Mus musculus: one gene and its partner. The protein of the gene in region 2 purifies or fractionates together with the protein of the main gene of each other region. This does not show direct contact. Links are inferred from orthologs where the notes say so. Each region holds a gene or a part of one and is shown on either strand. Other genes may lie near its edges.

What was found.
Region 1: the proteins of Birc3 (region 2) and Bcl10 purify together in Homo sapiens (affinity purification with western blotting; 5 studies listed by BioGRID and IntAct, with this or other methods). This does not show direct contact. The link is inferred for Mus musculus from reciprocal best matches to the Homo sapiens genes BIRC3 and BCL10.

Annotation. Positions count from the first base shown.
Region 1 is NC_000069.6:145,922,951-145,927,101, forward strand, and holds the start of Bcl10 (B-cell lymphoma/leukemia 10), read left to right. Parts: upstream 1-1,311; 5' UTR 1,312-1,508; coding exon 1,509-1,565; intron 1,566-4,151. UniProt on the Homo sapiens protein: Plays a key role in both adaptive and innate immune signaling by bridging CARD domain-containing proteins to immune activation.
Region 2 is NC_000075.6:7,852,628-7,856,189, forward strand, and holds part of Birc3 (baculoviral IAP repeat-containing protein 3), read right to left. Parts: intron 1,980-3,562; coding exon 1,740-1,979; intron 1-1,739. UniProt on the Homo sapiens protein: Multi-functional protein which regulates not only caspases and apoptosis, but also modulates inflammatory signaling and immunity, mitogenic kinase signaling and cell proliferation, as well as cell invasion and metastasis.

The DNA of each region.
Region 1 (4,151 bases), on a different chromosome or scaffold from region 2:
CCTGCTTATAGCTGGGTCAGATGCAAGCAGTTGGTTGGCCAACACAGCTAGCTAGCTTGTGCCACCACACCCTAGCTGGAGGACAGAGGTGTTTGATTTGCTAGAAGAAGATCTGGGTGTAGTTCAGTAGTTGCCATTCAACAGATGGTTGCTACAGGAAAGAGCAAATGATTAAGCAAATTGGGTTATAACAAGACAACGGATGACTAAGGACACAGGAAAACACTCTAGTATACTAGACATCAGCGTAAAAAAAGACCTGGCATAATGTAAACACCAAGATTCCAGAACTCTGATCAAAGCTACAGAGATGTGGCTTTAAGCCTCTACTGGTTCTTTTGTTTTAGATAAAGATTCCTGTTGCCTTTGGTCCTCTTGACATTTCAGTCTACACTTGCAGATTTACTTCATCGACCACATAATCATTTTCTGCCTAGGACTCTATGTGGAGCACCTCATCCACTAGGACACGTTTTGCACGGGCTACGAGTTAAAATATCGTTCTGAAAATAGCCATTTGGCCTCCAATAAACAACTTCCCCATCAGAGCATCCCTAGAATTTACTTACTGAACAGAGATAAAGGATAACAATAAGAGAGTGTAACTGTGTACCAAGTAGCTTCAGAACCTTAAATATACTCCTAGAGGCCCTAGCTTTTTAAATTTGTCTCTACTGCATAGATTAATAAGGAGAAATGCTTCTAATGAATAGAGACTTAAAAGTACCCAAACACTACCTGTGCTGCTAAATTGATGGGATTGCAGGTAATTTTTAAATCTTTTAACAGTTTTTTTTTTTTCTTTGTGTTTTGTCGTTTTGTTTTCTGCTCTCAAGATCTCCTTGCTCCTGTCTCCCTAGTTCTAGGTGGTAAATGGCAGTGGCCCCCCAGAGCAGGCCCTCAAACGGAAGTTATGTGTGCGTGTATACATATACGTATGATCACGCAACTGTAAAACCTGGCTCAGCACAACAGGAAATTGTTCCGCAACATCTGGAAAAGAGAAGCAAACCAAAATGCTCTGGCCGACTCAGCCCACACTCCACCCAAACGAGGAGTCTGCGAAGGCGGGGAGATCCCGCTAAACTGAGCGGCCAGTGCTCCGCCCACGGAAACAAATCCTTCAGGCGTCCAATCCGCAAGCCTATGTAAATGACAAGGGGGCGTGGTTAGAGGGACGCCCGCTGTGGGCGGAGCCACTGCGGAAGCAGAGACGTAACCGAGGGTAGTACTGATTGGCTGGCACGTAGGTGGGTGGGGCCTGCAGGCAGACCCGCCTCGCCGAAGGGTGGTGCCTGAGTTAGGAAGAACGCTGAGCGCGGCACCGCTGGCCCCAGGGGCGGAGCCGGAAGTGGGGCGTTGAGGTCTCCACCTCCTCGTCCGTGAGCCGGCCGTTCCCCCGCTTCTGTTCCTAGTCCCCCCGAAGTCACAGCCTGATTCCCGGAGGCCCGAGCCCTTAGTCTGGGCGGGGTGGCGCGGGCCGGAAGGACGCCATCCCGGCCTGGGCCATGGAGGCTCCCGCACCGTCCCTCACGGAGGAGGATTTGACTGAAGTGAAGAAGGACGTGAGTAGCTCCGCCGGGCTGGGCGCAGCGGGGCGCAGCGGGGCGGGCGGGCGGAGGAAAGCGGAAACCCGGAGCTGAGCGACGGGGAACTTCAGGTCGGAAGAGCGCGGGGTCCTGGCACAGCACGACCTGCCTGCTTCCCGGGAGCTGGCTGGAGACGATCCACCAGCGACCCGGGAGTCCGCGGTTAAGCCTGTCGGTGGGCTTGGATGTTTCCTTGCCATCCGCTCGTCGCTGGTGGCTTTCCATCCTGCCGATCCCCCATCCCACGCCACCGCCGCGGGAGCTGCTAGCCTAGGGAGCCGCCGGAGTGTGCCCACAGCGGGCTTTGGACCAGGCATCCCCGGGCGTAGAGCAGATGGGTGAAACTGGTCTCTATCGGGGGCTGCGGAAAGCTCGCCAGCTGAACGCACGCCCTGGAATTCCCCGAGTAATCAGACGCCCACGTATTTAAATGAAGGGGGTGTGCGTACTTCTCGCTGAGACTTGGTTCCCAGGTAAACGTTGAAAATACTCCCGACTAAATTGGACTCTTCTGCTTAGACCATGTAGAACTTCACAGACACAGTAATATTTGAGGAAATGGCTTTAACCACAACGTGCTTCGTTTTTTTTTTCCTTCCTTTTAACTTCTTTTGCCAGAAAAAAAAAAAAAATCAAATGAGCACAACTTAGATAATATACATGAATTCACATTAAAAACCGGTAACTCGTTCTTACTTAGCACCAAAATGCTGCCGAAAAATCGTCTTTACGAACTTAACCTCAAGTTGTTGAAGATGTATGTGTGCTTCAGACCCCTTTTTCTACCATACTTACCCCTTGTAAAGTTTATTGCGCTGTGCCCATAATTACAACTGATAGAGCTAAGTACCAGGAGGGAAAGGTACGGCCAGGATAACTGCCATAGTTTCCGTGTTCAGTGGAGTTGGTAGGGCACCTGCTGTATGGAAAGCTACACATTCTACTTGAAACAAGGTCTTTGATACCCACTATAGTCCTTAAGAGGACAGTAAACCCTAAGTGTAAAGTCTGGGAGCTCTGTTCCCATGTTCCACAGTTTTGAATTTTCTCACAATCATTAAAGTACCTATAAGGAGAGAATTGCTTTTCATTTTATAGCTGGCAAAACAAGACAAGACCTGTCTGTAGATAGGGGAGGAGAGTGCTGCAGGCCTTTGTTTCTGCTCCGGGGTTCATTGACGTCATCCATCCTGACAGTTGCACGTTAGACCTGTGTCAGATGTCCATAACCTTAGAGAGACTACAGAGAAGCGTCAGGGTGTCTATAAAAATAGTGTTCCTTAGATATTCACCCTATTATTTTTGAAACTGCTTATGACAAGCTTAAACATTCATCCGCATTATTTGAATCTCCTTTTTTTCTCAACTCCAGGACTTTATTTCCAAGTCTACCAGAACTCAAACTATAATTTCATACATTTGGCTGTTGTTTTGTTTCTCTGTAATTCTGACTGTCCTGGCACTCACCTGTAGAACTAGCTGGCCTCAACTCCCTTCCTCTGCCTCCCAAGTGTTGGGATTAAGGCATGAGCCACCACTGCCTGCTATGTTCTTATGTTTTCAAAACTTGAACTTTTCATTATCCTTCCCCCAAAACTGCTTGGTGTCCCTTCTGTATTATCTGTCTTGATAAATGGTGGGAAGTTGTTTACATGAGGCTGTCTGTCTGTCTCAGGGTTTGCTTTCTGTGGCTTCTGTTGCCTGTGGGTCAGCTATGGTCCAAAAATATTTAATTATTTAATGGGAATTTGATACGGTTATAGTGATACAAATTGAGCACTCTTCTAAGTACCGTGACAAAATCTTGTGCCATCTCACTGCATCTAGCCAGGGACACGAGTCTCACCTTTTCCCCAGTGTGTGTGTTACCTGCCTGATATCCTCTTAGTAGTGAGCTGTCTTGGATATTAGATTAGTTTTTATGGTGGAAAGCTTGATATGGGGTTGGTACCATGAGGTTTTGCACATCCATAGAGAGTCTTGGTCCATGTCCTCCCATGTTAGTGGGGAGCACAGGCCTACTGCTGGTCCCCAGGGCTGTACATCTTCAGCGCTGCTCCTGTTTTCATCTGTTTATTTAACACACCCTCATCTTGTTAGAACTTGTTTCCTTTTAACAAATAGAGGTAACTTTATACTCTGAAGTTGATAATGTAATACTAACAGTTAAATTAAGGACTAAGGAACTAGAGAGATAGCTCAGCAGTTAAGAGCGCTGACTGTTCTAACAGAGGTCCTGAGTTCGATTCCCAGCAACCACACGGTGGCTCACAACCATCTGAAATAGGATCCAATGCCCTCTTCTGATGTGTCTGAAGAGAGAGCAACAGTGTACTCACATACATAATATAAATAATCTTTAAAAAAAAGAACTAAGACAAAATTCTGTTTTTTACAATAGCTCAATTTCTTGATTGAAGAAAAGTAACCATGAACTGATAACTTTAAACATTATAATAAAGTTTCCATCCATCCAAAGCACTGCACTCTGAAATGCAGAGCACACAGCGGTGGACAGAATGTTTGGGGGTTGCCTCCTTCAAACATGTAGGCCATTAAAGG
Region 2 (3,562 bases):
CTTGGGAGGTAGAGGGAGGAAGATCAGGATTCAACTACATAGCAAGTTCAAGCCCAGTCTGAGCTACCCTGTCTCACAGGGGTGGAGTGAGGGGAGGCTGGAGGGATGGCCCACATCCTCCTCTCGGAAAGCTACACTCTTGTCTAGGCTTCAAAGGCTCCTGCATATGCACTGTACACATAAAACACACAGGTATACACATACACACATAAGTTAAACATTAATTAAAACATTATAGTCTGAGACATGTTCAGATTAATAATTCTTCCAGAATCCATCTCAATTGATAAGAAAGGGAATGAGCAACCATCTTGGGATCAAGAATGTGCTTGGGGTCAGTGAGCTGGCTCAGTGCAGAGATCACTCAGTGTTAAAGGCTAATGACAGGCATGACTCTGACACTTGGAATCCAAAAAATGTGGGAGGAGAGTTCTAGCTCCAATAAGATACCCTCTGACCTCTATCTATCTGGCCTAGCATGGCATGGCAGCCCCCTCACTCCCCTCCAAACACATATACACCTATTCAAAATTTAAGAACTGATTTGATAATAGTAGTATGAAGCTCCTTAGTGCATAATTTGTGCTTTAAGAGGAAAACATAGAGGCTTATTAATTGAGAAGATCTGTGTACACACGCATAAAATAAAAATCATACATATAGTGTGATTGTTTTGGAGTTTGGGGTTTTTTTTGTTTCTGTTTTTAAGCTCCATGAGTAATTATAGGCAAAGCCAACAACTCATCCTAAAATTTAAATTAATTAAGGTCAGCCTGGTCTACAGAGTGAGTTCCAGGACAGCCTGGGCTGCACAGAGAAACCCTGTCTCAAAAAAAACAAAAACCAAAAACCAAACCAAAACAAAAAAATTTAAAAAAACCAAAGTTTTCAGGGCTGGAGAGATGGCTCTGTGGTTAGGAACAGTGACTCTTTTTCCAGAGGTTCTGGGTTTAGTTCCCAGCCCCACTTGCTAACTGACCATTCACTGTCTGTAACACTAGTTCCAGGGGATCCTCCGCCCTCTTCTGGCCTCCATAGACATTGTACAGACACATGCAGGCAAGATGCCCATACACATAAAATAAAAATAAATAAATCTAAAAAAATATGTTAACAGGCTCAACATACACATTTTTTAATTTAATGAGCAATCCTGATGTATTTTGAGAGAGAGAGAGAGAGAGAGAGAGAGAGAGAGAGAGAAAGTCAACAGTTCTCCCCTTCCATCAAATGGGTTTTGGGGATCAAGCTATGGCGGTCAGGTTCACCAGAAAACACCCTTACCTGCTGAGCCGTCTCCCTAGTCCTCCACAATGCACTTTATTGTTAAGAATTTACTTACAGAGTTTGAATTTAGAATATGAAACATAAGAAAGGCCAGGCTGGGGTTGGCGAGATGGCTCAGCGGGTAAGAGCACTGACTGCTCTTCTGAAGGTCCTGAGTTCAAATCCCAGCAACCACATGGTGGCTCACAACCATCTGTAATGGGATCAGATGCCCTCTTCTGGTGTGTCTGAAGACAGCGACAGTGTACTTATTTACAATAATAAATACATTTTAAAAAAGAAAGAAAGAAAGAAAGAAAGAAAGAAAGAAAGAAAGAAAGAAAGAAAGAAAGAAAGAAAGAAAGAAAGAAAGAAAGGAAGGAAGGCAGGCCAGGCTGAGTAGATGGGCATCTTTTTCGAATTCGCGTGGGCGACAGCACATCTCTCCAGGGAAAGGCCTTGTTACTCTGTACCTGACTCCTCCTCCTCGGCCGCCTGCTCCATCTGCTCCTCTCTCATCTCGTCTTCTGCATCGAGTAAGCCTATAACGAGGTCACTGACGGTCCTGTAGTTCTCACCAGTGGCCAGGATCTGCCACTGAACCGTCTGTCTCACCAGGCTCCTACTGAAGCCCATTTCCAAGGCTGCTTTAACCACAGGCGTGCTCATCATGACGACATCTTCCGAACTTTCTCCAGGGCCAAAATGCACGACTATATGGACAGGGGATTTAACAGATATTAGCAGCGCCCATGCATCTTTTTGTTGTGGTTGTTCTTTTAGGAATCCTTCTAGGCCAGTCTAGCCTCAAGCTTATTATATATTCCAAGCTGATCTCAAATTCATGCCAATTCTCCTGCCTCAGAAAGTGCTAGGCACAAACCAACATATCTGGCTTCATATACTTTTTAAATAGAAAGTTATAGCAATATCAAACCCATTAAAAATAAAAAATAAATAGGTACTATACAATATGCATTTTGCTAACTTTAAAATGACATATATTCAGCCATTGAAGTAAGAATACAAAATACGATTGCCTTTAGATTCAAGTCTGTGATTAGTTCTACTCAAGAGGAGAGAGCAGAGAATGCCCAGGCATTCCACTAGAATCAGGGGCTTCATTCTCTATAATCAATAAACTAATGTGCTTTCTATAGCAAATATATACTTCTACATATTTGCTTCCTTTTGTTTGTATTTACTAGTTGTCTACAATGTTTTAATTGTATATTCATATTCACGCAGCACATACTTTGATATTTCTAGTTCTTTCCATTTCTTGCAAGTGGCATGGTTTCACGCTTTAATTTATGGTTGGGTAATTTTCTTTCATTCTTTTTGTTTGTTTGTGAGGGTCAAGGACTCAGCATATAGACAAGGATCTTGCCTCAGCCTGGCTACCCCAGTGTCCCAGAGTGCTACCCACCCCCTTTCCAGCTTACTTAACACTACAACCCAACCACTTAAAGTGCAAACCTGGTGTCATACTCCCCAAACTGAACGCCATAGCCTTCCATAAAAATCTCAAATCTAACTGTGGTTACATTCTGATCTAACTCTCTGCCTCACCTCTTGCTACTTCCAGGCCATAAGCAGCCTCAGGCACTTGCCCCTTGCACTCTGCACTGGAACTCAGGAACTGATAGCTTTTGATTCAGCAAGCTGGCCTCATAATTCCCTGTCTGCAGCTCCCTCTTCTGGCTAGACAAAATCTTTGCTCTGTTCTTTGAATGTCCCTATTCCATGTTGCTTAGCCTCTGATGTTGTCTTGCCCAGAATATGCTCTGCCCTGTCAGTTAACTGATTCCATTTGTTCTTGGGCTCTCTACTAAGATAAGTATTTCTTCCAGAGTGCCTTTTTTTTTTTTCAGTTTTTAGTTTGCTTTATTTTATGGGTCTTTCTTTCTCTCTTTCTTTCTTTCTTTCTTTCTTTCTTTCTTTCTTTCTTTCTTTCTTTCTTGAGAAGGAATGTGTGCACTATGGCACGTGGGTAGTCAGAGGACAACTTTCAAGAGTCAGCTTTCCCCTCGACCATGTGAGTCCAGGGGCTACAACCTGGGCTGAGTCATCTGCCAACCTTGGTTTGTTCTTTTAAGACAAGGTTTCAGTAGGTTATCCAGGCTGGCCACTCACTGTATAACCCCGGCTGGCTAGGAATGTATGACCCTGTGCCTTAACCCTCCAAGTACTTAGATTGCTGGCCCTGCCCCAGACAGATGCTGCCACATTTGGCCTCCTAGAAAGCCTTTTGTGTTCCCCAGATTTAGACAGTTGTCTCTTCACGTTCTCCTTC